Rhinolophus ferrumequinum: one gene and its partners. The protein of the gene in region 3 interacts with the protein of the main gene of each other region in a biochemical or structural test. Links are inferred from orthologs where the notes say so. Each region holds a gene or a part of one and is shown on either strand. Other genes may lie near its edges. The genes, in order: WAS, PDGFRA, PLCG1 and FGFR1.

Region 1 (7,023 bases), on a different chromosome or scaffold from region 3:
GAATCTCGGTGTGTGTTTGATGATCATGGAGGGAGTGGGTGAGGGGGTCCAAGGAGGGTTTATGGAAAAGTGGGTGGGTGGGTCCCACACACCATTCATACGTTCACTGATTCATTTATTTATTCATTCACTTATGCTTATCACTTAAGTATTGACTCATTCATTCACTGGCTCACTGACTAATTTATTAAATTATTCATTCACTCACTCACTCGTTCCTTCCTTCTTTCATTCATTCAATCATTGCTTCTTTCACTGATTGAAATTTTATTTCACTTATTCAATTATTTACTGTTCGGTTCATTCAATCACTCACTCACTCATTCGTTAATTTACTGAGTCATCTATCCATTCATCCACTTAGCCACACACCAATTCACCTATGCATTTATACACCCACCTATACATCTATATATCTATCTATATTTTCATCCTCCCATCAGTGCGTCCCCCCACTCGACCATCTACCCACCACCAATCCATCCACCCTTCTACCCACCCATTCACCCACTTATCTCTGCACCCACCAAATTACTCATTCATCCACACCCTAACCCACCCGTTCACCCAGGGACATGGAAGAATCAGCACTCACCCCCTTGGTCTCCACCTGGGTGGAGGGGCAGGGGTGGGAGCCCTCCTCTTCTTTCTGGGAAGATGGAATGGACAGAGAGCTATCACAACCCTGCCACGGGTTCCTGGGCTAGCCGGCTATTACCCCTACTTGCACTAGAGGACTCACCTTCACTGGCTGGTGCTGGTGGTGGGGGTAGCTGGCGTCTGTCTGTGGAGAGACAGGTGAACTGGGAACCAGAACCATGAGGGGGCTTTTCCAGCTCCCCACTCTTGCATTCACTTCTGCCCAACCCCCTTTCCTCCTCCAAGGCCTCCTTACCTCCACTTTGCCTCTGATTCCTTTTTTGTATCTTCTCCTGTACCAGGGCCTGGAAGGCCTGGGCCTCACCCTCGTCTGCAAAGTTCAGCCCCGCTTGGCAGTCCTGCGTACACCTTGGGGTCAACAGCCTCCCAGGCCCATCCCCCACCTTTCCCATCTCCTCCCCACAGCCCAACTGAGGCCCAGGGGTTGGGTGGTCACTTACGTCTCCAGCGAAGGTGTGGAAGAAGGGGGTGGGAGTGGAGTAGACCAGCTGTGAGTACAGCTCCTGTTCCCAGAGCAGCTGGCCTGCCTGGAGAGGTGGGGAACACACTGGCACTGAGACATGTAGGGCAGGTCTCTGTTATCTGGGCAGGGAACATGTGTCCAAATTTGGGGCCCCAGGATCTGATTTGGAGGTTTCCAATTCGGCATCAGAAGAGTTGGGGGTCTAGGGGTCAGATGTGGAGGATTGGGGTACAGTATGGGAGTTACACATTGCAGTGAGATCTTTGAATTTGGGGTTTGGGATCCTAGCTGTGGAACTTGGGGGCTTGGATTTGAGGATTTGGGGCTCCCGTCTTAGGAAACTGAGCCCATTCTAGACTCCATCCCATACCCCCACGATGGGGGCCTTCATTTGGGCAGGCAGGGCTCCAGTATTTGGAGTTGGGGTTGAGGTTTGTGGAGCGGAGTTTTATGGCTTAGGATTTTGGTATTTGATGGTCCTGGGATCTTGATGTGGTCATGCTGAGTTCATCTTTATGGGTTTAGAAGGATGAATGGGAGGTATGTGTCTGGGGAGTTCAGGTTGGGGGTTTGTGGAACAGATTCAGGAATGCTGAGGTCCAGGCTGTGGGTTTAAAAGGACAGATTTGGAGTTCGACCCAACGGCATATTCAGGTTGGGGATTTGTGGAATAGATTTATGACTTAGGAGCTGGGCAAACATCTGAGGTCCAGAAGTTTTGATGGGGGATTCCTGAGACCCAAAATGTGGCTCTAGAGCAGATTTAAGGTGCAGGTAAAACTATAGTTCTCATTTTTGGGGGGAGTTTGTGGAACAGATTAGACTTAGGAGGTATGCTAATACGTGATGAGGTATATATGGTGACATAGAGACTCTGGAGTCAATCATCGCAGACTTAGAAAGGCAAACCAGAGTCTGACATCTGGATGAAGTCTTTGGTTCTGGGGTCCAGGGGTTCACTGATCTGTCCAAGGGTTCAGGGCTATGGACCCAGATCTTGTTTGTGGGTTGAAAACTGGTTTGCTTGTCCAGTGAGGAATGGGGATCACCTGAAGGCCGTAAAGGCGGATGAAGTATGACTTCTGGGGGTTATCCTTCACGAAGCACACAGCCCCACAATGTTCCTTGGTCCAGCGCTCAGCTCCACGGGGCAGCGCCAGGTACAGCTGAACAACCGCAGTGGCCAGCGTCTGGGAAGGGAGAGCGGAGTTCAGTGCAGTTTGGTCAGGGGCAACCAGAGGGTCGGAGCCAGACCTGGTCCTTCCTTACCCACGGCTGTCATAGCCCCCAAGGAAGGGCCACAACCAGAGAGAAAGTGAACAGACATGGAGATCTCTCCGGGATTGGTGAATGGGGATAAATGGATTCTAGGAGAGGAGATGATGGAGAAGGAAAGGAGGAGAAGAGGGGAAGAAAGGGGAGGAGAGGGGAAGAATGGGGAAGATAAGGTGAGAGGAAAGGGAGGAAAGGCGGAGATGGGGAGGATGGGAAAGATGAGGAGGAAGAGGAGGAAAGGGAGAGAGACAGGGAGGGCTAGGTGATCCCCAGCTCACCCAGCATTTCCGTCCGAGCATCTCGAAGAGTCGCTGGTTCTCATGGTCACGGAGGAGGGTGGAGGGTATGTTCTGCTGAACCGCCGACGATCCACGGCCCCCAGGCTTGCCTCCTGCAGGGCCCCCACTCATGGTGCCTCCTGCCCTTGTCCTCTCCAGCTAGGCTCTGAATGCAGGGTAAGAAGAGGAACTTCCGCAGTGAGCAGGGAACAGGAAGTACAAAAAACCACAAGGGAAACAAGTCCTCCAGGGGCCCCTCGGTGGGCCTGGCCTCCTCCACCCTAGAACAAGCTTGGACCCTCTACCAGATTGGGGCCCTCCTCCACTTGACTGGTTAAACTCATCTTTTGGACCAGTTCATGTCTTCCTCCTTCTTTTTTACTCTCTGGGGCCCATCTCCCTCTGATTGGCTGACAGCAAGAGCTAGGCCACTACAGCACTTCCGCAAGGCATGCTGCAGCGGTGGGGAACAGTCATGGGGCTGGGCAGCCTCCTTCCTCCCCACAGCACCCAGTTAGCCTGGGCCTAGGGTTCAAGGCCCCTAGTGCTGAAGAATTACTGTGCTAAAACATTTCCTTTAATTACACAGTGAGCACCTGGGATCCCATCCCTCTCCTGAGACATCCAACAACGCAGCTCACTTCCCCACCCCTTACCCCTGCCTCCCTGCAGCTCCCAAATTACTTTCTACATATCACCCCTTTTTGAAGAAAGGAATTTTATAGGATATATGAATGCCTAAATATCTTACTTCATTTTCAGTGCTTTTGAACTTTTGAAGTATGTAATCTTCAGAGATTTGCTTTCTCTCCACTCAATATTTTATTTTTATCTATCCAACATTCATGTAGTACTGAATGTATGCCAGGCACTGTTCTGACCCCTTTGTAAATACTCATTTGAATCCTCTTAACAGCCTGTGCGACACACACTATTACCGTGTCCATTTGACAGAGGAAAATGAGAGAACTGAGGCAGAGTGGTTAAGTGATTTTCCCAGTAGCCCCCAGCCAGCAAGTGGGAGAGCCCAGATTGCATGCCAGGCAGGCTGGGTCCAGAGGGCACACTTTTCATCACTATGCTCCACACCTTCTGTCTGTTACTAAGATTCGTGTTTGCCTGTAGCAGTTATTCATTTTTTAGTATATGAACTGCTATATAGTATTCTATTGGGTGACTGTACAACTTTTTTTATCCGCATTCTCCTGTTAACAGATATTTAGGCTGTTTCTGGCTTTTGCTGTTGGGAGCAACACTGCTGTGTTCCCTCCTGTACACATTTCTTGGTCACGCAGGCATCCCCTCTCAGGAGGGGAGTCAGGGGGCTGGAGGGTTTGCATGTCTCTACATGTACCAGAAAATGCCAGACTGTCCCCGAGTGAATGCTAGCTTATTCCCACTCCTCCCTGGGCCTCAGTCTTCCATGGGGGGGGCGGGGGGACGCAAAGCTCTCAGGCACACATAGAGCAGTTTGGGGGAGCTGAGCCGGTCTGGGGTGTGACTGCCATTCCTGGGTACCTGAAGGTCAACAGCACATCTCAAGGTGGGACACACAGTCCTGCCTGGAAACCTGCTGGGCTCCCCATGCCCCCAAGTTCAAAGCTTCTCTCCTAAGCCTAGGTTCAAAGTCCCTTCTTGTGTAGCAATTCAAGCCAACTTCCCTCCTCTCCCCCCTCACAATTTAGTTTATGGTGCCACCAACTCATCAGGTGATTTCCTTCCTCCAGGCCTGAGGCACCTTCCAGCTTGTCCATTAGGGCAAGCCCCTGCTTTTCCTTAAAATGCCACTGCATTCATTCATTTTAACACTACTCATTGAGCTCTAAGTGCCAAGCGTATACCCAGTATCTGGCACAAACTAGACAGTAAGTAAAGGAATGAATGAGGGATTAATGTCTAACTGGTTAAGTGTTTTCTGAGCTTTTTCTAAATGCCTTTCATGTATTAACTCATTTCACATTCACAGACGACACGAAGCACTACTGTCACCCCCATTTTACTGGTAGGGAAGCTGAGGCCCACAGAAGCTTAGCTCACTTAAGATCACACAGCTTGTGACGGACGGATCAGAGGCCAGTTATGTGAGCTCCAAAACTGTGAAGTGCCACATGGGGGCCAATATAAAATTCTTCTGTTCCTTTTCTGTCTTTTGTGCTCTTCCTCCCTACTCCTTCTCTCTCTGACCCTACCTCTGTCCCTTTTAAGTCGCCATCAGGGGGCCTTAAACCTCTGCTACATTTGCTGGTTGCTGTTTAAATTAACATTTAAAAGTTTTATATTTTCTGTTCTTACTTCTAAGTGGCAGACAGGTTTAAAATTTTTCTCTAAATAAAAAAGCTAAAGTAGATTTTTATTTCAGTCCCTGAAATAAACTCAATAGAATGAGTTTCTCCATCTTAAAAGGGTGATTAATCATCTTAATACCATTTATCATGTTCAGATTATTGAATTACTCTGTTGATCTGCATTAATAATTTGGAGTTGGTTTATTTTATTGTTATGTGTCCCCATCTACTCTTGTTTTTCTGCACTGAATGACAGTATTTGGGGAGGTGATGACTTCAAAGGTTACTTGCTCTCCTGGACCTTCAAATAGATTTAAAAAGAACAATACATTAGTCCAACCTTTCTGGCTGCTCTCAGCTGGAGAGTGGGTCGAATACAATTTACTCCACCACAGCTGGGAGCCGAAGTTCTACCTTACTTCTTAGCAATCCAGTGAATGCCCAGGAACCCCCAAGAACTAGGATGTGCCCAATAACTTACGTTCACCTAATGTTCCCTCACCACCTCCCTCTGCCAATCCCCCCAGGGGTTACCAGATGGAGAGTCACTTCTTGTTTATATCCTGTGCTTCTTTTGCTTTATTTTGAGAGGATATTGCCTACAAGATCGAGCCTCAAGTCCTAAGTAGGTAAGAAGACAGAGGGGGTGTCTCTCATAACTGAATCACCACTGTGTAACTGAGTCCCTGGAGGAGACATAGGCATTGGGAGGTTGCTAAGACCAAACTGACATCAAGATGGCAGAATTCCCATTGCCACATCATCCTTCTCCTCCCCTTACCTTCCAGCCCCTCACAGTCCTCCATGTCCATGAGGGCTCCTTCCTGGGGACAATCCCACCCTAAGGAAACAGAAGTTCTCAACTCTCCAACCCAATGCTCCCTTTTAATAAGAAACCTTTGGGCAGGCCTCCTTTTACCATCCTGGAATGACATACATTCATGGGTGTTACAAGTCTTGGTGGTGTGGAGCTGTCCCCCAGTATTTCGGGCCCCTGCCCATTCAATGCTGAGGCACTCCCATTACTCTGACAACCAAAGTCTGCCTACCAGGCATTCCCAAAACACGCCCCCAGAGCAGGAAGGATCAGGACCCTTGTCTGTCTTCTTCATTGGCATATCCCCACCACCCTAGCACAGGACCCTGCATTCAGAAGCTCAACCAGCATTTGTTGAATAATCATTGTACAGTCTAGATTTCTATGCTTCAATTTACTGTCCTCTTCCCACAAGGCCCCTCTGTCATCTCTTCACCCCCATGCCTAGGGGAAGGGGAAAGAAAAACAACTCAACTCCAGAGTGTGCAGGGGCCAGCCCCTCCCACAGAGATGTTTACATTGTTTACTGATGCTAAGGGCAAATGGGTGCTTTAGGAACCGTCAGGGAAGGGGCTGATGTCACGCGGGGTGTCATGCGGGGTCTCTGGTGCTGCTCCCCACATAAGAATGCAGGACAAGGTGAGCCCAAAAAGGAACACCCACGGAGCCACAGATAGGGGAGTCATACCACTATAGTCTCGCTGGTGGCTGGGTTGGAGACACAGGAAGCAGGTGCCACACGATCCACAACCTGCCGTCCACTTCTCTGCCCTCCAACCCCACTTGCTAACTGCAATCCGCGCTTGCTAGCTCAGCCATTGCAGTTATATCAGTGGCCAATGGCTCAATGGTTACAGCTGATGGCCATCTACTACTCGAGCCAGCACCTTTCCATGTGAGGCCAAGAGCCAGGAAACTGCTCTCTGGGACTCTGTCCCCACAGCTGATTTCTAGTCCTGGTGGGGGTGGAGTGAGGACAAGGTAAGCACAGAAAAGCAGAGACACCTGTAGAAATAAGAAAGGTTCAGTGGTTAGAACCACAGATTCTGGAGCCCTATAGCCTGGATCTGGCACTTACCAACTACTTAGTCTGGTAACCTCTCAGTGCCTCAGTTCTCTCCTCCATAAAGTGAAGACAGTAATAGCAGTTAAGGTTGTTGACTAAACGAGATAACTAATGTACAGTGATCAGGACAGAGCTTAACATGCTAATTATGTATTGTTGTTTTTATGAAATAGCTAAGT
Region 2 (7,099 bases), on a different chromosome or scaffold from region 3:
ATTTTAGCTCTTTGCCCAGAATTGTCACGTTTCCATCAGCGGCGTGTAACCTTGTCGCGGCTCCACGGAGGCCAGAGGGAGTCCCACCCGCTGGGGTTTGCGGGAAAAGCGCTGGCCACCACGTCCCCAGGACGCGTCCCAGCGCTGCGCGCCGCCCACGGCCCGTCCCCAGGAGGCACAAAATGGGCCTGCCTCGGCGCCAGACACTTTTGCAGCTGGAAAGCCCTGCCTGATGCCCCTCCCCCTCACCCCTCCCCAGCCCGCGCCCTGGGAGGAAAGTGGACCTGGGGCGGAAAGCGGGGAGCCGGGGCTCTCTTTCGGGTCCTCCTCGGTCTAAGGCTTGTGCAAGGGCCGGGAGTCAGCTACGGGTCTCAGCCTCACCTCCTTCTGTCTCCCCCGCAACCCCGCTCTTAGGACTCCAACCCTGGAGTCCAGCTACATTGAGCCAAACCAAAAGCAAGACTACGCAACAGCCCCGAAGCAGAGAGGGCGTCAAAGTGAGACTGGTCGTGCCCTCGCCTATCGGGGAGCAGAGGAAGGGCCCCCTTTATCGTGAGGACCGAGGAAAAGAGGAAGCCAGGGGGTGGGGGAGCGAGGGGAGAGAGAAAGAGGGAAGGGATGCAGCAGCAGCACCAGAATGCGGGTGGGTCAGATGGCGGGGTGGGGGGTTGTTGTAAAAAACCACAGCCAGCGCGGCAGCAGAGGAGGTGCGCCGGCCCGGGGCGCCCACTTCCTCCGCTCCAGCAGCCCTGGGCCCACTGGGCTCTGAGGTGTTAGTGCGCGGAGCTGGGCGACTGTCTTGCCTGTTTGCCCTGGATGCCTCTCCCTGTTCTAAAAAGCTGCCTAGCTCTGGTTGGGAGCGAGTATGGCGAGGCGAGACGGTCCAAAGGTTGAGCAATTCGGCTGCAGAGCCAAAAAACCATTTCCCACACCGCCCAGCCCCGGGCTTTTCCAGGCAGCTCAGCCAGTCGCGGGGCAAACGGGACCTGATAATGGCCATCCACCCTCTGTCTCCAACCCTTGTTTGCCTCTCACGCAGACGAGTAGCACGTTCTTCCAGGCACTTTCTGTACATCCTGAGGTCTTAGCAGGGTAGGAGAGCAAAGTACGGGACCCGCGCTCTGGCTGCGGGAGAAACGGACAGGGGATAGACAGCCCAGCACTTCCTTCTCGGCCAAGACGTTTGGCCAGGCCACTGGCAGCTCCTGCACACCTGGCCAGGTTGCCGGGATTCCTGGCCCCCTCCGGCAGCCGTACTCAGATCTGGCCGCGTTCCCTCTCGCTCTGAGCTGGCCGCGACCACCCTTTCCTAAAAGAACCGCTGATCCCAGTTGTTTCCGCGCCAAGTGGGCGCCGCCCGCTCCTTTTGCGCTCCGGGGAGAAGTTAATCTCACGGGTAAAAGCCGATTTCCTTGGAGATAGACCTCGGAGGAAGGAGGGGCTCTAGGAGACCGCTCTGCAGGGGGCAGAGAGGCCGGCGCAGGGAGCGGAATAGAGACTGGAGTCACTGGAGAGGATGAAGCAGCGCAGGACTAGTGCAGGGGGCGAGTGCCACGCATCCCAGGTCGTAAAGGGGCATGCAAGGGAGGTCTTGGGCTCAGGGGCCCGGAAGGAGGCAGTGAGAGTGGTTGGCCTCCCGCTTGTCTTACCTGGAACCAAGTTTCTCCGTTCCGAGTCATCCCTCACTTCCCCACAAGAAGTTCAGCGCTTTTCCTGGCGACCTTCCTTCTTTCCTTTCAGCGCCGGGACTGGGCAGCAGAGCCCCGGGCTTTGCAAGAACCAGTCCACGGAGGAAGGGGGCGCACAGCTACGGGTGGGGGTGGGGAGTATAGCGCACAATGAGGGCCCCTTGGAGCGCAGTTCTAAATTCCTCAAATCCGGGTTGCTGGAATGCGAGGCGACGACGACTTCTTCACTCGGGGCCAAATGTGTTTGTCATTACTCCAGACGGCCTGCCCGCCCGCCCGCGCCGCCGTCGCCCCCGCGCTAGGGCGCGCAACCCGAGCGCACTGCGGGACTGGCGCCCGTTCTCCCTCGCACTTCACTAATCCCACAAACCGCTGGGGAGCTCCCCAAACCCGCGCCCCCTCTGCTCGCCTTGGAGCCGCCACGGTAGACCTGAGTCTGGCCCCGGCTCGCACCCGGCGCGGAGCCGTCCAGTAATTACGCGCCCAGAGCCGGCGCTGTGTGCACCCAGTGGGCACCCAAGGTCCGGCCTCCTCCAGCCGAACCCTTCACTCCTCCCCTCCCTGCAACCCCTCCTGCGCCCCACTCGGCGCTCTTCTCACTCTCCTCCCCCGATGCTCCAGCCGCACTCCACGCCACCGGCTTGCAGCGTTGTCCCGCCAAACCGCGAGCGAGAAATGAAAATACTCATTAAAAACCTGTCGCCTTCCAGGACCCACTGCCAAAAAGAAGGCAAACACCTCTGCCCCCACTCTCAGCACTACTTTGGTGCTTGTCCCAGTATACACTACTAGTACCACCCCCAACCCCAAAAGAAACCTCAAAAATGTAAGCCTAAACAATTTCTTTGGGAGGCCATAGAGTTGTTAGAAAAACACTGCTTTTAAAAATAGATCTGGAAAATGTGGGGTTTTTTTTAATCCCTAGACTTTCGAACTCTATGGCTATCTTCCCTCCAAGTGAAGTTTATTCAAAATAAGTTATTATCTGGACACACGACTGGAATTCAATTCCAATTTTGTTTTGTTTTGTTTTCTCATCGCCCAAAGTTTGAGTGAAGCTACTTCACTTCTAACCCAAAGGGCCTGACAGGGACTTCTCTTAGAAACAAAAATCATTTTTTTCCTTCTCCCTTACCTTCTCTTCCTATGTCAATTCGCAATGAAAATCCTACATATGCAGTAAAAATTGTGTCCACGGCCTCCAGTCCTCCCCTGTAGTTCCCTCCTCTGTTTCTCTCTCTCTCTAGTTCCAACTGTAATGGGCTCAAAAACCGCGTTTTGTAATTGATTCAATGTTATAGTCCATCCTTCTAAAACTAATCATTTGCTCTAAGTAAATAGCTGTCAGGAAATGAAGCCCCCCCCCGGGCCTCTTCAAAATAAAAGTTTCCTCGAACTGTGCGCTCTGAAATCTCCCAGCCTTCAGATTGCGCCTTCGCGTTTCGCTCTTATGCAATCAGGGGGTCCAGCCCCAACCCCCAGACTTCGACAACTGGGGAGGGGGGCGGGGAGAAGTAGACCAGATGGGGTGGGGGTGGTGGAAGGGGGAGGTGTTGATGCTTAGCTGGGAGAGAGGTTCAGGAAAATACAAACTGCCCATCATTTCTAGAATGAGTTTGCCTCCTGATTTGGGGGTATTTCCCTACTCTGCTATATTGCTTAGTATTCTCTTCGAAAGGAAGAAAAAGAACACGTAAACTTGCATTTAATGCCCAGAGAGAATATAAATCTGAAATCGAAAAGTGTCTCTTCTGTAGAAATTCCAAGCCGAGCTAGATATAGGGCCCTCGGCAGAGGTCTCCTAGCGGTTGCGTCGTTTTGAACCTCGGGTCTTTTAGGGAAAGGGCCAGGTAGTTGCTAATCTTTTAATGGGATTAGACAAACTGTTGAGTCCGATATGATGATGCTGGCTTTTTGTTTTGCTTTGTTTTTGAAAATGGGTTTGAACAAGGGTACAAAGAATCGAGCGTCTGCTCGATTTAGACGTTAGGAACGTTCTCGGACAGAACGACCTTTACTCCCTTGGAGCCACTTATCTTGTCTTGCCTTTGTTTTCGGGGTTATCTGGGCGAGGTTGCCCTGGCTTCTATCACGTACACAAAAAGGTTTAGGCTTGGGCGTTTGGAGAATCACCTATGACAAGCCCTCCACCTCCGCGTTCAGGGGAAGGGTGCATTTTGACCATCATCCGAGCGCCTTCCCGCCGCGTGGGTCAGACCCTTCCAATGCCCTGGGGTTGAGAGCGGAGCCCCAAACCCTATTCCCAAGGCACCAGGCAAGAGTGCGGGGTGAGAACGATCCTGCTCGCTAAGGAAAGGGGGCGCTGACGCTCTAGGAACCAGCCCTGGGCGGAGTGGAGCTTTCGAGAGAGGGCGGGGGAGGGGAGCGCATTCATCTCTTCGCCTTCTCTAATTTTGAATTCTCTTGTTGGGTGTAGGGGGGGAGGTGGTCATCCTTTGCACCCACCCACCACACACATTCTTCAGAATGGCCTGGGCGGCCAGGTTGAGACAGAAACGTCGGACTGCCATCACCTTTCTCCTTCATCAGGAGGGTGGACACGGGACAGCTGGCAGGGGAGGGTCACCGAGAAGTACTGCAAGGGTTGCTGTGCTTAACTGGGACGGGCTCCTGGGGTGTCAGGATCGGGAAGACGCCTGCGGCTGAGCTAGGGGCCTTATTTCCCAGCCCCTCTGAGCGCCGGCCTCTCGTGCATCTTCAGTTTGGGTGACTGCACTGCTCACTATTACTTCCACATGTTCTTTCAGGAAATCATTGAAGGCAAATATATGAACAGTCCCTTGTTCGGAATGCTAACAGGATACCGTAATGTTTGTAGATAACGAACGAGAACCAACGACCCCAAAAATATCAGAGTGCGGAAAAATAGGAAAAAGCGGGTACTGGCTTTCATGCGATTGATAAAGACAAGTTGATATCTAGGTTTTTATACCAAATACCCAAGAGGGTAGGAGGCGAGGCAAGGAGCTACCCAGGAAGGCCTGCTCTGCTACCGGGAAAGTGCTAACCCGGTCTCAACAGGGTCTCCTGCAAGCAGGACCCCAGCCCTCCCCGCGCACAAATAGTAACTTCACAGTTCCTTTCAGAGACTCTTAAGGGGGCCTGAAAAGGGGGCTGGGCGGGGGTGTCTTCGGGCCGTAACTCCTCGCGAGTTTAAAGCCCAGCGAATGGATGAGCAAGTGAGCACCCAGTTGTCCTTCTGGTAGTAATTACCTGCCTAATTTGAATGATGCCTTTGTTATGATCATTAACAAACATTTGCTAAAGGTTTCCATGTGTGACATTCCAGAAGGTTTAAAGGCTTGGGGAGCCGACTCCCCGGACAGCGCTCTGGCGGGGGGTGGCGCAGGGAAACAAATGGTTGGGGGAGGATTTCGCCGAGTCTGGGGCGAGCAAAGATGGAGAAGAGGTCAACATCTGCCTTCCCTGCCGAAGCAAAATAAACCCAGTGGTCAGGAGCAACCTCGGGGCTGGAGGCCCACGGAGAGAGGCGGTTCTTTCCTGAAAACGAGTCCTGCCCGCAGCCCCCAGCCGCCCGCCCCTCCCATTGCTAATAGGCGAGTTTGAATTTTGCCACCCGCCCTCCGCCGCTGCTTGGAGACTTGGGGAGAGGTCGGGTCTGCGCGCGGCAGACTGCCGGGGCGTCGGGGGAAGGTGGGGCCGGCCAGGCCGCGTTCTGCTCGTGTTGTTCTAAGATCCTTCCAGATTGCTCCCCTGTCGCCCGGGGTCCTGGGTGGTCCTGGAGCCGCAGCGGGCAAGAAGCGGCGCCGGGCCAAGACGGTCTGCGGGGTCTTTTCTCCTCTTCCTCGGCTTCTGCCCAGGCCACCAGGGGGGACCAGGCCCACCTGTGCTCCCCGAGGAGTGACCTTCGCCCGACTGGGCAGCTGGGAGAAGGTCCCAGTTCGCACCAGGATTTTGGTTTTCAACCTCTTGTGTGTTTTCCTTAAGGGAACATCATGGGGTTAAGAATGAGGGTTTTCTCCCCAAAACGGGAGCCTGAGCTGCTGCGACCCTCTAGAAAGGAGGAGGCCCAACTCCGGAGCTCAGCTGGGCTGGGACGTCGGGGGCAAGCGGCGGTGCTGGTGCGGCTTCGCGCGTCTAGGCCCGCAGGCAACATGAAATTGGCTGCGAGGGTATAAAGAGATGTAGTGGAGCCAGCCATCAAAAAAAAAAAAAGGCCCCACAAACTTTTTACAACCAAATCAAAATGGTCACTGAAAACAAAAACAATCTCCCCCAGCCCTGCCTCCCAGACTTGCTCTTTCGGCCCCCGCCCCTCGGTAACCCGGGCGGCAGCTCTGGGCGTCACACCTACGGCTTTGGTGGGCGTTTCCCAGTGAGTTGGCTTTTTGTTTCTTCTCTACTCCTCCTTTGCTGTCAGCTCCACCCCCCAATTCTACTTCCCTCGGAGAATTCAGAAGGTCTTTTGCCTTAGAAGACCTGTAGCAGTTATCGAAGCCGTTGGTTGTGAAAATCACATGTAAACAAACGTGATTTTTTTGACGGGGTAGGGGCAGAGTTCTAGCTTCCTGATTTGAAGACGAAGGGCCGTTTGGTGGTTTGCCAAAGAAAACGGCGCTAACTGCCCCTTCCCCCACACCCTTCAATTCTTGATTGCGAGCCGCCTCCCCGGGCCCAGGGAAGGCACTTTCGTGGGGAAGACTCGGAAGAGGCTTGTGGATGTGACACATAGATGTGGGTCTCCCAGGGGAGCCCGGCGAGGCCTCCGCCTTTGCCTCGGGTCTGAACCAGCTGAGGCTTGAAAGCTCGCTCCGAACCTCTGTACGCTCAGAATTCAGGGATCCCCAAGTTGTGGACAAGGAGTTCGAAGATTTCTCCAAAAGTGTCCCCACTGGCGTGTGTAACTTTGGGTGACAGTTCTCTCCCTAGGGCTCACTCACCTCCTCTTCTTCCGTTTGCTGGTTGGATCTAAGGGCGTGGCGTCTCTTCAGGGTTCCTGGGGGCTCTCGCTCTAGAGATGTGTCTCCAGGGAGTAGAAAGCAATTCCCTGCGGCTGGGGAGCAGCCGAACCCTCTCCTAGGGTTCCTAACACCCCTGCCTGCTTAGTGACCTCAGTGAGGACCAGAGATAGTGAGCCCAGGTGGGCCTGCACTCCTCAGAGGTGGGAAAGAGGTGGGTGTGCATCTGGAGTTTTGATACCATTTTCCCAGGAGAGAGCCCCACTTCCTCAATATTTTTGTGTCTCCTACTCCCCTCTGCCTCTCTTTCGGCCTTAGCTTTTAGTTACTTTTAATTTGAAAACCCCTGTAAGGGGAAGAGGAGGGACTGAAGAGATTGGGAGGTCTGCTCTCTATTAGGGGCCTCAGCCATCCAGCTTTCCAACACACAGCTGTGGCTTGGGAGGAGAAGGAGGGCTGGCTCTGTTTAGG
Region 3 (7,505 bases):
TCAGGTGTCAGATGTGCAAATCTCCATATATTTACTCTACACACTATTCTACATGGTAGGTGGGTGGGTAGGTAGATGGGTTGGGGCAAAAAAACCCCCTTTCCTACCCTTTTCCGGGTAGTGATCTAAGTGAAATGTGAACTCAGTTGCCATCCTCCTCCCTTCCTGCACTCTCAGACTCTCCTACACCCACACTCCCCCTGCACAATATTCACAGTCCAGGGTCTAGCAGGGCAGTCATAATCTGTTATTGTCATTATTAACAACAGCTCACATTTACTAAGCATTGATCATGTGTCAGGCACTGTGCTAGATGTTTTCACATCAATTTTCTCATTTACTCCCCTGAGCAACCACATATAGCGGATATGTTATTATTCCTACTTTACAGATGAAAAGTAAGGACAGGAGAAGATAAGGAACTGACTGGGGACACACAACTAATATACAGGCCTCAAATCGAGCCTTGCCTTCAACCCCTGGGCTGCACTTATTACCTGCTGGTTACATGCGTGGTTTGAAATGCAGCCTGTTGTTACCCAGGAGCTCTCTATCTGGGAACCTCCAGCCAGGGACCCCATTTAGGCACAGCATAGGGATCACCACAGAAGCAAGAGAGGGGCTGTGTCTGGACTCTGATATGTGGGTGACGTTCCCAAGACTATCTCAGCTTTCTGCAGTGTCTGTACTTCCTCCACTTTGAAATCCAGTCTCTCAAATCACTAACATTTTCTCGCAATGGCTGACAGGGCCAATGGGGGCATGGAGATGGAGGAAGACAGCTGCCATTTCTAAGGTCAGCAGCTGTGTCAGATCTGGAGTTTGCAGTTGAGGATGGCTGCCTTACCACAAGGCCTTCCTTCCTCCCAATCTCCTCACCCATCTACATGCATATACAGCATGTTCAAGGAAGTCTGTAGGACCTTCCCTTGGGGGTGTCAGTTCCCGACCACCCTCCTATACATGGACCGAGTTCTGAGCCTGGCTCTGACACCTGTCTCTGGAGGGGGTGGGGGGGGCGGTCCTTGCAGGAAGCAACCCACAGCCTGGGGTTGTGACACATCATCTCTCACACTTGGAGGCGGGGGGGGGGGGGGGGGGGGGGGGGGGGGGAACGCAGGGCAGAGCTGGGTGCCCATCCGGCCACAGCACAGGCATGTGCTAAGTGGAATAACACTGAGAGATCTGGGTTTTTTTAAAAATCCCCAACTCCCTCCTCCCAACTCAGACCTGCACAAAAGCTGCCATGCTCAGGCCCGGGAGAGCACAAAGGTAAGAAATCAAGAGTAGTAGCTCCTGGCTCCCTACAGCCACAGGACATAAAGGGCTAGACCCCAAACTGGCTGCCCGCTCATGAAAAGAGTATCTGACTCCAAGGCACTGAGGCTGGCCTTTCTGGGGTCAAGTAGTTGAGACTGAGCTTCCAAGGGAAAGGGGAGCCTGGATCTTTACCAAGAGTCCCTGCCCTGGCTTTGGGTGTCTGCTCACCCACACAGACCTCCAATATTCAGCTTCAGGACAAAAGCAGCAGTAGGAAAAAGCAGCCACTGCCTTCTCTCAGGCTTTTCCAAACCAAACAAGACCACCTTCCTCCTCCCCAAGAGGGAGATGAGTAGGCCCGGCTCGGCTCCAAAACCAGCCCTACTCCAACATCTGCCTAAGTTCTACTCAAAGAACCCAAAGGTTCTTTTGCAAATAAAAGCCCAGCCTAGGGGCCCAAAGAGTTTCACCAAGACTGCTCTTTTTGGAGAAAAGGTGGTGAGCGGCGACCATCTGGTCTCACCCCAGGTTCAGGGGCTGGATGGGGGGCGCCGCCTTGCCTCCCCTCGCCTCTGTGGACACCACTCCCGGTGTGTGGGAGACCCGATGCCTGCCCCGCTGGTCTCCAACTCACTAGAATTTTTAGGCCTCTGGGCAAAGCGCCAGAACACTCCCCCCAGCTGGGGGAGGGGGTGTCCTGTCAGGTGACTGAGGACCCGGATGCCCCCCGCCCCTGGTGACCACCGGGACCGAGGCGGGGGCGGGGTCCGGAGGGTGTGGGGAGGGACGGAAAGTTTGTCCAAGTCGCTCGGCGGCCGCGGGCGCGCGGGAGGCGGGCGCGGATCTCTGCCGCCCCCGCGCGCGCAGCGGGCCCCGGGGAGGGGTCGCACTTACTGGCCCCCTCGATCTTGTCGGCGCCGCGGCTCCACGTGATCTGCCGAGTCTCCAGCTTGACCTGGAAGGTCTTCCGCTCCGGCCGCTGCGACTTCTTGGAGTAGAACAAAGTCATGACGGTGCCCACCTCGAGGCTGCGGCAAAGGTGCAGCACCTCGGCGTCCGAGGGCGCGCCGGGCCCGCAGCCATTGGCGCAGGGGGACGCAGCGCCTGCCATGGCTCCGGTCCTGGGGGCGGTAGAGGCTACGACAGCGATGCAGGCCCGGCTGGTGGGAGCAGGCGGCAGCGGCGGCGGCTGAGGCTGCCGGCGAGCGGGCCCCGGCGGCGGCTCCTGCGGGCGGAGACGGGGCGGGGCGGGGCCTGAGCGGGGGGCGGGGCGGCCCTGCAGGCCCCGCCCCGGTCCGCGCGCCGGGAACAAAGACGCCCGCGCGCCCGTGGGGAGGACCCCCGCCTGCCGCCCTCCGCGCCTGCGCCCCGCGACCCCCGGCGAGGCCCCGGGCGGGGGCGCAATGGCGGCGGGAGCGCGCGTGCCGCTCGCGGTCAAGCCCCCACTCCTCCGTCCCGCAGAGCTTCCTCACGCGACCCCGTACACAGCTGCGTGGCCACAGTCGACCCCGTCACGCGCGGTAGCCGCTCGGCGGCCCCGCAGTGAGTCGCACACGCACAGGCGGCCGCCCAGCCCACTGTCCCGCTCAGGCCCAGTCGTAGCTTTTTCCTCACCCCTACTCCCCGAGCACCGCCCGCGCAGCAACCGGGTAGGGAGGTGAGGGCGCGGAGCGTCCCTCGGGCCCGCCAGCCAAACCCAGTTACCTGGGCGGGCTGCCCGGCGGAGGGAGCCAGGCCGGGCCGCCTCACACCGGCGGCGGCGGCGGGTCTTCTGCGCGCCCTCTCCGGGGAGGGGCGGGGGCGGGGCCGTCTGCGGATTGGCCTGCGGTCTCTGATGGACAGACGATCTAGCCCGCCCCTCCTCTCTGGCCGCGCAGGGCTGGCCCGCAGGCCGCAGACCCACCTCTGTCCTGCTCCTGCGGCCAGTGTAGCCTTCGAGGGCCCTGTAACTTGGAGAAGCCCACCAGATCTGAGCATCTCCTGCAGGGCCTTTAGACCTACAGCTCCCAGTGGCCTTTGTCTCTGTCACCTCAGCTCACACTCCGTGTCCACAAGGCAGGAGGTGGTCTCAGGTCCTACCTCATGGTGACCCTCCTGTAAATGCTCTCCTGAGCTTTGGTTTTCACAGCCCGACTCCTCTTGTTTCCCTCCTCCCTCTCTGGCTGCTGCCTTTAGGCCTCAGAAGCTTCTCTTCCTCTCTGCTGGGTCCTGAGCCAGTTCCCAAGGCGACCTGTCACCCCCAACCCAGGCACCCGCAACGTCAAATCTGTCTCTCTCCTGCATCCCGTCCATACTCTCTCCATACTCCGCGTCCACACTTAACACAGGCATTTCACTTCTTCCTCAAACTGCTCTTCCCACCGTCTTCACTTTCTCAGAACATGGCACTAAATGCTAAGGTGCTTGGGCCAAAACCCTTGGAGATATTCTTGATTCCTCTCTGCCTCAATCCCACACACACAGTAATCCATCAGATCCAGTTCACTCTGCCCTCAGATATCGCCACTCCATCCACAAGCCCAAGGCCCATCTTTTCTCACTCAGACTATTTACCCTCCTTGCTCTTGCCTGCATCTATTCTCCATGCTTTAATCTTTAAAATTAAATTACATCATGGTCCCCTACCTCCAGCCTCAAAGCCTCCATGATTTTCCATTGCACATAAAATCCACACTCCCTACCTGGCCCAACAGGTCCCGTATGGTCTGGCCCCTTTCTCTTCTACTTCATCTCTCACCACCTCCCCTTCACGCCCCATTCTCCAGCCACAAAGCCTTTTTGTGGTTACAGGCTGACTGTTTTAGTGTGCCTCATTTGTTGGGCTTCACAGGTGTTGTCTTTAACAAACTGAAGGCAAGACCCCCCACTTGCAAAAAGATTACAGCTCCCTTTATCACAATACGAGCTTTATTATGGTGATCTGGAACTGAACCTGTAATATCTCTGAGATATGCCGGTATGTGAATAATGCACACTCTTTTGCCTTCCTGAAGCCATTCTCTAGACTCATCCCTGCAATCTAGCTGCCTGTCACAAAGAACCGCCAACACCGAAGACACCTGTGGTCACAGTGGAACCGGTCAGACAGATATCGAGCAAGGCAGAGCAGGGCAACTTACTGCAATTCAGAGGTGAGAGGCCCAGTGGAGCACCCAGCTGATGCCAGAGACAGATCCAGGCTTCCTGGAATTTGTGCTCAGGCAACCCACCCAGCTGGGTGGTGACTAGTGTCTGGGGCTGCCTCTTGCGGTAGTGGTGTGTGTTTTGTGTGTGTTTTGATTCCCTCTCAAGTGCAGCCCCTAAGAAGCTGAGAATTCAGCCTGAAGTTGAGTCGCCTGTCCTAGGAGGCTTCAGCCACCTGAGCGGAGGTGGAGTGGCTGAGATGGACTGCCACCTAGTGACAGGCTTTTAAAATGGAAGGGAACTAAAGTTGATCTAATGACTTGCCCAGAGATACAATGCTTACATATGTGGTCACACCTGATCCTCATAATTACCTTCTAATCAGGGATTATTTTCCCTAATTTACTTACGAGGAAACTCAGATTCAGAGAAGTTCTATAACTTGCCCCAAGGTCACAAAACTAAAAAGTGGGGATTTGAACCCAAGTCTGTCTGACTCCATGCATTTTCTGCCTCACAAGAGAGCCACTGCCTTAAGTAGGACAACAGTCAGTGGGCATGGAGGCTAATTGGGATGGGTGAGGGGAAGACTTGGGCATGCGTGGCCCTGAGCACAGGGAACTCAGAAAACACAAACGCTCATAAAGTGTGGCTTGGGCTTAAAATGGTGCTGCCTCTGTCTACAGCTCCTGAGCTTCCCTGTGCTAGGCATTGGTGCCATGGTTTGGAAGAACAAGAGAAACCCTGCACCGGCCCTCCAAGAATTCACAGACATTAAACAGATAAACACTCTCTTATGTAGGCACAATTGTGATGAGGTCTACAGAGGGAAAGAACTGAGGGCTATGAGATAAAACATTAGAGAGCCCTACTTCAGATCTAGTAGACAAGGAAGACCTCTTTAAGACTCAACAGAGGCCTAAAGGATGTGAGTAGATGGCCAGGTGAATTATTAAGGGTGGGTTGAAGGAAAGGAAAGTGCTTTCCAGACAGAGGTAACAGCACGTACAAAGGCCCTGAGGCTGGAAAGAGCTTCGCGAGTTTAGGAATAGAAAGAAGGCTAGCGTTTATCTAGTGCAGTGGAACATGTGGGGTAATGAGGCCAGGAAGACCGGTGGGGCCTGAATGGGGCTCCTCCCTGCCTTTCTGATCTTGTCCATTTTTCTAGGAGGGCCCCTCCCAACTCCTATAGCCTTCCTTGAGCTTCTTGTGCCAACTTGGGCAGCCTGCGGGCTGTGATGCACTTTTAAAATCTGTTTTGCTATTTTCTGAGAGCTTCCCAACATGCAGCCCATGCTTCCTTGCTTTTGCTTGCGTTTTTGATTCTCAGGCTGGGCCCCCAGGAGCTCCAGAAATCCTTGCCAACACGAGCTCATATTTTCAGTCTGCTGCCAGGCCCTTCATTAGGAAACAGGGCCCCATTTCCTCCTGGGATTTCTGAGCCAGCATCCCAGGACTCAGGTGCCTCCCTCCACCAAAGGATGTTCAGGAAAAGCAGGGCACACAGAGGGCGTGACTGGGATGGGCTTCCCCCATCTCAGCATATATATGGGTATGTGGGTGTCACTGGCAATGCGTACAGCTGCACTGGCTAGGAGGGAGCAGCCCAGCACCCACACAAGGCACATGTCTGTGACATCACCCAGGCTAGTCTTGCCTGGGCCTATTTCTAGCAACACTCATGCTTCCACATGCCCGGTCTACCCTAATACTTGTGCCTGGAGTCTGGGGAGGAGTCCCAGCCCAGTTGCCCCTCCGGTCCTGTGGGCCTGACGTCACAGGTGTTTATTTACCAAACACTTAGAACAGCACTTAGCATAAAGTAAGTCCTACATAACTGCTTTACTCACATAGGCTCATTTATTCATTACAGCACTGAAAGTATGTTCTTTTTTTCTTTTCCCCCTTCTTCCACCTACCCTCCAACTCCGGTTCAAGCCATTGTTTCTCAGTCTAGTTGTGTAGGATGCAGCTCCCTGGCCCATGCTGGTATTATGAGCTCCCCCAGGGCTGAGGCAGTCGGTTGCCGGTCGTGGGTCGGCTCCTCACAGCAGCTCATGACAGCCCGCGCTGGTTGCCGGCCGCTCATGATGGCTACTGGCCGCTCATGATGGCTGCCGGCCACTCATGCTGGCCACCGGCCACTCCTGGCAGCACACAGCAGCCTGCGGCAGCACACAGTAGCCCACGGCAGCACACAGCAGCCCGCAGCAGCTCCTGCCAACCTCTGGCTGCTCATGGCAGTCCAGCTCCAGGGAGAGCTGTTATTCACAATGTTAGCTGTAGAGGGCGCAGCTGGGAATCGGCCCTTGTGGGAATCGAACCAGCGACCTAGGTATTAGGAGTACAGAGCTCCAACAACCTGAGCCACCGGACTGGCCCAAAGTATTGTTCTTATCCCCATTTTACAGGAGAAAAACTGAGGCATGAAGAGATTAAGACATGGTCATGGACATATAGCTAAGAGGTAGCAGCGATGGATTCAAACCTCAGCACCCTGGCTCCAGAGTCAATGCTATGTTGCCTCTCATGCAGGTATGAACGTTTTATTGTGTATCCTCACCCCTTTCCATAATACCCCTACTTAATGTTTTCTATTTTTAGTTATTTGGTTAATGTTGTCAAAGGTTGGGGGTGTTTTGGAAGCAGACTCTGACAGAGGTTAGTGTGCAGAATGTGTTCTTAGGGAGTGCCCTTGGAAGGGAGAGGACGGAAACAGGAGGAGGTACAGAGGGAAGTTAAGCTGTGACACAGGCCAATCCCCAGGGAGCCCACGTCAATCAGCCACTGGATGTGGACTGTCCTGGGAAAAGCAAGCCTTGGCCAGATGGCTTTCCACAGCTGAGGTGACCTTGGGGGACTGACAGCTTTCCCAGCAGTGGGGCAACAAGTGCTTTCTTAAAGGGGAACCTGGATGGCACATCACTACGCTTACCACAAATGTATTCTTTTCAATCCGTTGAAAAAAGTTTAGGCCGGTTAGCTCAGTTGGTTAGAGCGTGGTGCTAGTAACACCAAGGTTGCTGGTTCCATCCTCACATGGGCCACTGTGAGCTGTGCCCTCCTTAAAATAAATTAATTAATTAATTAATGAAAATAAAATAGCTTTTATAAAAAAAGTT
Region 4 (7,502 bases), on a different chromosome or scaffold from region 3:
CTGTGCTGACATAGAGCAACAATGGCTACCATTTATTGAGCACTTACTATGTGAGTCTGTTCCTTCAGAACAAAAGACTACAGAAGCTTCAACACCCCCACATCTACTCTTAGTCTGTCTTCCTCGATTATCCCAGATGAGTGCGTGGATTGTCACGTGCTGTTTGTCATCTTTAAAGATTCAGGCATCCCTTCCCCTGAGTTGTCTCCTTTCCTGATCTCTCCTCCCCAAACACCCTGCAAGTGTCCCTGGTGTGGCATGATTTGCAATGTTTCATCTCTCCCGAGGATGTGCCCTTGTCTCTTTCATCTGAGATCCACTATGCCTAGCACAGTGCCTGACACATGAGTGGAATGTGTCACCCTCCTCCCCAATGCTCAGTGAATGAATGTTGCATTAGGGCCAGACAAGCTTAGCTGCCACTGCTGCCGAGCTCCCTTTCCCACTCCCAGTTGGTAGGACAGAGTGAAATGTTATTTACAAAAACACCAAGCCAAACAAGATCCTCCCTTCCCTGATACGCTGAAACTGTGCTGAGAACAGCCAGGGGTCACCAAATGGCAGCCAGATGGTAACTGACTGCTGCTACTTAACTCCAGGGGCCCTGGGGCAAAAGGCTTGGCTGCCCACCTGTTCCTAGGGACCTGTGAACATCCACTTTGTAAGGGAAAAACCCAGACGGTTCCCTCCTCCTGAATCCCTTCCTGCAACCAGGCCTCAAAAACTGAGCCCCTGCCGGTTCCCACCAGTCTCAGGGACTCCCGAAGCCCGAAGCCAGCCTGAGCAGCTCTATGGCCCAGCCTCGCCCCAGGGTAGATGTCGCTTGCCTCCTGCCACTTCTGTAACAGGCAGGTGTTAACTGTGTAGTACCAACCCAGTGTAGGGGGTGGGAACCGCAGGGCCCTGAAATAGCTAAACTCAGTTGGAGCAGGGGAACACTAGGAGAGGAGGAGCTCCCTTCTCTGTGGAAGAACTCTGAGGACACAAATAGCTGAAGGAAAAGGGAAAAGTTTTTGTGCAGTGTTCCCAAACAAAGAGAACTGATCGGGCTTTGGGGAGAGCTCTGTTTACTCTGTTTCATTCAGCACCGGTCCCCTCCTTCCACAGATCTGGGAGGCAACAGGTTCCCAACTAGTTATCAGGTCCTCCAGCGTGAGGGCCTTTGTCTCCCCCTCAGACGTCTAGCTGGCAGGGCAAGGGGCCTACAAATCCTCCCTGACCCTCCCAGCTCTTTGTTATCTCAGAGGGAAGATTACGTTTCTGTGTGGGGAGGCAAGGTGCCAGGAGGCCTCAGAGCAGGACAGAGGCAGGCAGAGAGCGATTGTCTGACCTCCTTTGCCTGGAGCTGGTCAGGGCCACCCTGGGGATACTCTCTCTCCACTGGCCTAGAGCCTATCCCGAAGTGAAGGGTCTGCATTTCAGAAAGAGGAGGGGGAGGAGCAGCATGGAAGGAGAGCAGACCGGAAGGATAAAAGCAGGGCAGCTCTCAATTATTCAGGAGCCGTGCCTGTGGTCTGTGTGAATGGCCCATACGTTCTCAGGGTTTCTCACCTTTTCCATTCCACTGTCTTTGGGTGTTTCCCTGAGAGCTGGGGGAGGGAGAGCTATCAAGCTGGACACTTGCTTTCATTTCGGTTTCTTGCTAATCTGTAGAGAAATTTGTTCAGCATCGGATCTAGGCTACTTAACATCAAACAGACAAGCATTTAGATCATTCTCTTTCTGTTTAAATCAAGGGCACATTCTTCAGCCTCCTCTTTTGTATTCAAGATACTCCTAAAATGCTTCCAAATCAAAAGAAAAAGGGCTAGATTAAAAACCCCTGGTTTATGGGGTGGCCAGTTAGCTCAGTTGGTTAGAGAGTGGTGCTGATAACATCAACATTGCCAGTTCGATCCCCGCATGGGCCACTGTGAGCTTCGCCCTCCTTAAAAAACAAAAACAAAAACAAAACCCTGGCTTAGAAGAATCTTAGAGAGGAATGGTGATATAATGTCTTTTAGTAATAAAGTAGGAAAATAGTGGTTGGGTATTAACATAAATGCTGGGTTTTCCATAGCTTGTGTGCCCAACTCATATTCCCTTAAATTGTATTTCCTCCTCTGGTCACCATGAAGTCTGCCAACAACAAAAATATATAAAACGCCTCCTGAGTAGTCCTGAGCTAGGTCACATACAGAGATGGAATCTTTGCCCTGATACAGTTTAGGAGCTAGTTAGAGAGAAAGAGTAAAAAAGACAACTAACAAAGTTATGTTAAGTATCATACCAGACGGTCAGTAGGGGTTCCAAGGATCAACATGGCTGGGATTGGCAGGGAAGGCCTCTCCAAGGGAGAGGGGCTTGAGTTTTGCCTTCTTAAAGGCCTGGAATGAGAATTATTTAAAATGAAGAAGGCTGCATGGGTGGGCAGCCTATATGGGAGGATTTAAAAAGAGCCTGATAAGGGGTGGCTGGATGGTTCAGTTGGTTAGAACATGAGCTCTCAACAACACGGGTTCCCGTTCAATTCCTCCATGGGACGATGGGCTATGCCCCTGCAACTAAAGATTGACAAAAACGGTGACTGGACTTGGAGCTGAGCTGTGCCCTCCACAACTAGATTGAAGGACAATGACTTGGAGCTGATGTGCCCTGGAGAAACAACACTGTTCCCCAATAAAATTTATTTTAAAAAAAGAGCCTGATGAGGAACTGAAGGGTGGAAGGGTGGGGAGATAGCTTATAGCCTATAAACAATGGCAGAAGTTCATGTAGTCCACAAATATGTGAGTTCCTGCTTTTTATTTAGTTTTAAATTTATTTACTTTTTCAATAAATATTTACTGAATATTTACTCTTTGGTCAGTCAAATAACATTTACTGAGCTCCTACTATGTGAATGACACTGTGTTGGTGACAGTAAGGGAGTCCCAATCAACTGGGGATAATATGTAAATAAGTCTTGATGTCTTTGCAGATGCATGCCTGGTCCAAAATTAAACAGCCCATAAGTAGGGGACAGAATGAAGGTATCTTTCATACCTAATGTGACATATTTCTCACCCTACCGGTGTTCTCCAATCTGGCACCATGGGATCTGTAGAAAAAATACAAACTCTTTGCTCCTTCCTGGGACGACCTAATTCCTCAAGTCTGAGCAGGTGCAACAATTTGTATTTTTCCAAAGTTCCCCAGAGGACTCATGCCCATTTGGATTAGGGAACCATTAAATTCTACCACTCTGTGGAAGGATCCAAAGGAAAGGGCATTTTAGCCACTTTCCCTCCGGTTCCATAGAGTACTGGAGTGTACTCTGGGTGGTCTCTGATTCATTTTCAAACCAACACCACCCCTCAACTCCCCCCACTCACTCTTTGCTTCAGAAACATTCATGGCAGCCTGGAGACTTCTGGAGGCCAAGAATGGCGCTGTAGAATTGACAGGACCTAGCTTCCCATGGACCACAAAACCTAAACTATGTGGCTGGGGAAAGTGGGATGGAAGGAAAGGATCTGAGGTGGGGACCCTTTTATTCTCATGAATAAAAATAGCTTGCATTATTGAGTATGCCAGGCCCTCGTCTAGTCCATTTAATCCTCAACTCTATAGGGAAAGTACTATTATCCCCCTTTGACAGATGAGAAAACTGAGATGTAGAGCAAGAAAATCACTTCCCTCAGGCATACAGTTAGTCAGACTTCAAAGCTCTCGCCTCCACGTAGAACCTCAGGGCGACAGCGTCTTCTCACCTCACCCCCAATACTGCTCATCTGCCCAGGGCCTGCATTTGGGCGCCCTCCAGGCGATGCTCAGATGGGGGCGGGGGACACGCCCTCAGATGCAGTCCAGGCTGCAAGCGAAGAGCAGCAGAGTGCCAGGTAGCTCAGCCCGCTCCCCGCTTCTCGGGGGCCAAGGCTCAGGAACTACAAGGCCAGCAGGCAGCTGCATGGGGAGGAGGAGGAGGTGGGACTAGCGCGGGGTGGGAGTGGGAGAGGGAGCCCTCGCGCCTCGCCGGCGCACAAGCGCTCGGAGCGCTCCTGCGGGCACTGGTGTGACGGCTAGCAGCGGGCGGCAGCGAGCGGGAGCCGAACTCCGGTCCAGCCGCAGCGCGCGGAGGAGCCCGGGCTGTGCCCGGAGCTGGGCGGCAACGTCCGGACAGGACCGAGACTCTGCTTAGCGCATTGCGGCGACCTCGCCTTCCCCCGCCGCGATCGCTCGCCACAGCTGGAGAAGCAGAGGAGACCGCGGACTTTTCTCCGGTCCGAGGGGCGCTCCGCAGGGCGCGCGGTACCAGGACTGCAGTCGGGCACGCCGCGGCGCCGGGGCCGCCGCAGGGCGATGGAGCCCGGGCTGCGAGAAGCGTGAGGCGCCCGCCGCCGGATCTGGAGAGGGGGGGCCACAGGGTCTGGAGACCCGGGCGGTGGACGGGAGCCCTCCCCCCCGCCCCGCCTCTGGGGCACCAGCTTCGGCTCCATTGTTCCCGCCCGGACTGAAGGCGCCGGGCGCCGAGCGCCCCCGGGAGTCGAGGGCCGGCCGCGGGGCTCTCGCGGCCCCGCCAGGAGCCCGGCGGCGGGGGCCGGAGTCGGGAACGCGGGCGCCTGCCCGCACTAGCCACCGCTGGACTCTCCACAGGCGGAACCGCAGCGCCCAGTGAGGTAAGAGCCGCGGCGCCCCCAGATCCGGGGCGGACTTGGCGTCCCGAGCGGCCCCCGGCGCTGGAGCCTCCTGGCTGCGCGCTTACCCCGCCGCAGCCGGGTCGGGACGGCGCCTCCCTCCGCCGGTTACCCGCCCCCCTCCATCTTCCAACTCCCTCCCCAGCGCTCTGCGCCCCCCTTTTGTCTCCCCTCCCTCCGCTCGCATCGCCTTCTGCGCCCCCTGCCCGCGCTCGTCCCGCCGCTCTCCTGCCGACCAACTTTTCCGCCAACTCGCGCTGGGGAGCTGGCGAGGCGGCGGCGACTCCGTGGTGAGTCCGGGGAGGGACATGGCCGGGGCGAAGGCGGCGGCGGCCCTCGGTGTCCTAATACTGGGGAGGAGGGCGGGAGTGGGCAGCGAGCTGGGGTGTGTGTGTGTGTTGCGTTACACTCCATCTCTTTTTAGTCCACTCGCAGGGATTCACCCCAATTCAGCAGGTAGCTTTGGGTGGAACGCTGAAAATCCGGGGTACTTCTAAGTCTTTTTCCACCTGAGGAAAGTCTGGGGTCGTGTTGAGGGTGGGTTGGGGCATGAAGAGGGAAGGGAGTGGAGGGGTAGGTTAGCTTCTCTCGGAATAGGTTTTAACTCGTATGTCGTCACCAAATGGCTGAATCCGCTTTAGATGAGAGCGAGAAAGGAATTCCCATTTCCAGAGGGGGCTTATCTTCTTAGTTCATCTCCGAAAGGGTTGGAAGTTTGGAGATGGTGAGGGCGCCCAGTGGGTGATGTTAAGGCCCGCGAAGGGGTCGGGGGAGGGGAACGTTCAGTTTCAGTCTTTTTCTAGGAGGTGGGGGAAGGGATGGAGGGTTTTGTCCGGTGCGGTGTACTCGGCAGCGATGCATGTTGCTTCTCTGGCCCAGACCCCTCTGCCTCTCGCCCCCTCCTTCCGTCATGTTTGAGGTTGGGAGAAGAGGGGCTAGAGCACTCATTTGCGGAGAAATTTATTGACGTTGTAGATGGAGTTCATTTAACACGTAGCCTGTGAAGGCAGCCCAGACACCTTTGGTGGTGGTGGTGGTGGTGGTATACGTGTATGTGTGTGGGGAGGGTGAATCCTCCTTCTTTCTGGGCCCAGAAGCTATTAGCCTATTTAAAAATTTCTGCGGTGTCTTTCTCCCCCAACACGTCCCCCACCCCCCATTTTCCACACGTAGCATCCGCATCTGGTTCCGTTTCACCCCACACGGGTACACCGCAGCCACGTTATTAACATCATTCTTCCTCCCTTCCCCCTTCCCCAAATTAAAACTGGACTTCTTCAACTTGTCCTTTCCATCTCCTTAAAATTTCTGACGATTTGGAGATGTGGAGTTGGGATTTGTGGAGAAAAAAGTTACCCTGGATCGCAAGTTATTTAGAATCTCGTGGTGGTGGTGCTTTCTCGATTGTGTGGAAGGTTTTAGGGGGTGGCACTTGTGAACGGTTCATCTGCAGGAGGTGGATTTTTTGGTCAAGGGTCTGACCCAGAACTGGCCCTGACGGAAGTTTCTGGAATCCAAGTATTGCTTCTTCTCCCTTCAGTTGTAGTTGGAGCCCTGGAAAAGTCTGACCCTGTCCAGAGCCAGCCGTCGGGTCTCGGGCAGTCCGGCGGTGGCGTTGCGCGTCCCTGTTCCACCCTCCCAGGAGCCAGCCCCCGGCGCAGCGGCCGGGGACGGGGCGGGGGCGGGGGGCGAGGGCTGTGGCTGCCAGAGGCGCTCCTTGTGCGTTTTTAAGGAGTTAAATGGGCTGCAGCCCCCGGAAACTAAAGTGAGACATTTTACCATTTAAATAACGGCGACAGTTTTGAAAGCGGGGGTTGGATTGTTGAGGGTTTTTTGTATGTGTGTGTGTTGTTTTTTTTTTTTTTGGAATGTCCTTTGAGGTAGGAGAGCACCTTGTGGTCCAAAGTCGCGGGAGGGTGGGGAGAGTTGGTCTCTCTCACCCTCTCCTTTCCAGTCTCTTTCAAATTGAAAACACTTCTCTGGTTTCCTCTTTTGGGCGGTAGTTTTGGAGGCTGTAATGAAATCGCACTTTCTCTAGACATGGTAATTAAGGTGACTGTTTCCTCCGCAGATGTGCCCTGCCCTTTGCACCTCCGGACCAGAGCTTTTTTTGGAATACCATCTAAATTGTAGAACCTTAGCCTTGAGACTGTTTAGCAGAAAGTGGCCATTTTCCCCCGTTGGCCCAGGCTCCCTGAGGCTTGTTGAAAAGCTAAGTAGCAGAGCCTCGTGGGACGTGCCTCGGTCTGGCTAATTACCTCGAAGCCTGGGTCATCTCCTTTCCCTTCAGTGACCGAGGGCAAGAGGGAGAGCCATTGCCGACCGTCTGCCCTGTTGGCCTGCTTCCCTAATGACTTGTTTACATATTTGCCCCACTTGATTGGGAGAAGCTCCAGGGCTGCCGCTGACCTGGGTGGAGCGCCGTGTGTTTGGGGACAGGGAGGCTGCTCCGGCCTGGCTCCAGTTGGGATGGTTGTGTACTGCATCAGTGACGAGCTTCTTGAAATATCTGTTGCCTTACTCTTAGTCATAGCTGAGTGTCAGCTTTTTAATAAGGGCCATCCATCCGGATGGATAGCCACTTGGACATGGGTGCTTTCACGTCCTGCTTTTATCATGCTTGTGGAAATGCCCATCTTGGAGGCATTTTCACAAATGGGATTTGGGCCAGAGTGGGCGCTACTTCCTTTAGTTCTCAAGCAGACAGTCTTGGGTGCTTCTTTATCTTGGCCTTTGGCCATGGAGGATGTTAGAAAGTTCCGTTATGCACCCTTAGAAGAATAGCACGTGAAGCAAAAGCACTGGTAGAAAGAAGGAACCTCTCAGATGCTATTGTCCCATCCCTCC

The links.
Region 1: the proteins of PLCG1 (region 3) and WAS form a complex in vitro, tested with the Homo sapiens proteins (2 studies listed by BioGRID). The link is inferred for Rhinolophus ferrumequinum from reciprocal best matches to the Homo sapiens genes PLCG1 and WAS.
Region 2: the proteins of PLCG1 (region 3) and PDGFRA form a complex in vitro, tested with the Homo sapiens proteins (2 studies listed by BioGRID, with this or other methods). The link is inferred for Rhinolophus ferrumequinum from reciprocal best matches to the Homo sapiens genes PLCG1 and PDGFRA.
Region 4: the proteins of PLCG1 (region 3) and FGFR1 form a complex in vitro, tested with the Homo sapiens proteins (4 studies listed by BioGRID and IntAct, with this or other methods). The link is inferred for Rhinolophus ferrumequinum from reciprocal best matches to the Homo sapiens genes PLCG1 and FGFR1.

Annotation. Positions count from the first base shown.
Region 1 is NC_046284.1:85,909,917-85,916,939, forward strand, and holds the start of WAS (actin nucleation-promoting factor WAS), read right to left. Parts: upstream 3,015-7,023; 5' UTR 2,809-3,014; coding exon 2,677-2,808; intron 2,314-2,676; coding exon 2,173-2,313; intron 1,188-2,172; coding exon 1,101-1,187; intron 999-1,100; coding exon 896-998; intron 785-895; coding exon 743-784; intron 650-742; coding exon 596-649; intron 1-595. UniProt on the Homo sapiens protein: Effector protein for Rho-type GTPases that regulates actin filament reorganization via its interaction with the Arp2/3 complex. Important for efficient actin polymerization. Possible regulator of lymphocyte and platelet function.
Region 2 is NC_046288.1:16,595,726-16,602,824, reverse strand, and holds the start of PDGFRA (platelet-derived growth factor receptor alpha), read right to left. Parts: upstream 3,006-7,099; 5' UTR 2,824-3,005; intron 2,210-2,823; exon of another isoform or gene 1,911-2,209; 5' UTR 1,680-1,910; coding exon 1,650-1,679; intron 168-1,649; exon of another isoform or gene 1-167. UniProt on the Homo sapiens protein: Tyrosine-protein kinase that acts as a cell-surface receptor for PDGFA, PDGFB and PDGFC and plays an essential role in the regulation of embryonic development, cell proliferation, survival and chemotaxis.
Region 3 is NC_046306.1:15,662,950-15,670,454, forward strand, and holds the start of PLCG1 (1-phosphatidylinositol 4,5-bisphosphate phosphodiesterase gamma-1), read right to left. Parts: upstream 3,011-7,505; 5' UTR 2,875-3,010; intron 2,486-2,874; 5' UTR 2,372-2,485; coding exon 2,155-2,371; intron 1-2,154. UniProt on the Homo sapiens protein: Mediates the production of the second messenger molecules diacylglycerol (DAG) and inositol 1,4,5-trisphosphate (IP3). Plays an important role in the regulation of intracellular signaling cascades.
Region 4 is NC_046287.1:61,188,140-61,195,641, forward strand, and holds the start of FGFR1 (fibroblast growth factor receptor 1), read left to right. Parts: upstream 1-4,498; 5' UTR 4,499-4,637; intron 4,638-4,805; exon of another isoform or gene 4,806-4,945; intron 4,946-7,502. UniProt on the Homo sapiens protein: Tyrosine-protein kinase that acts as a cell-surface receptor for fibroblast growth factors and plays an essential role in the regulation of embryonic development, cell proliferation, differentiation and migration.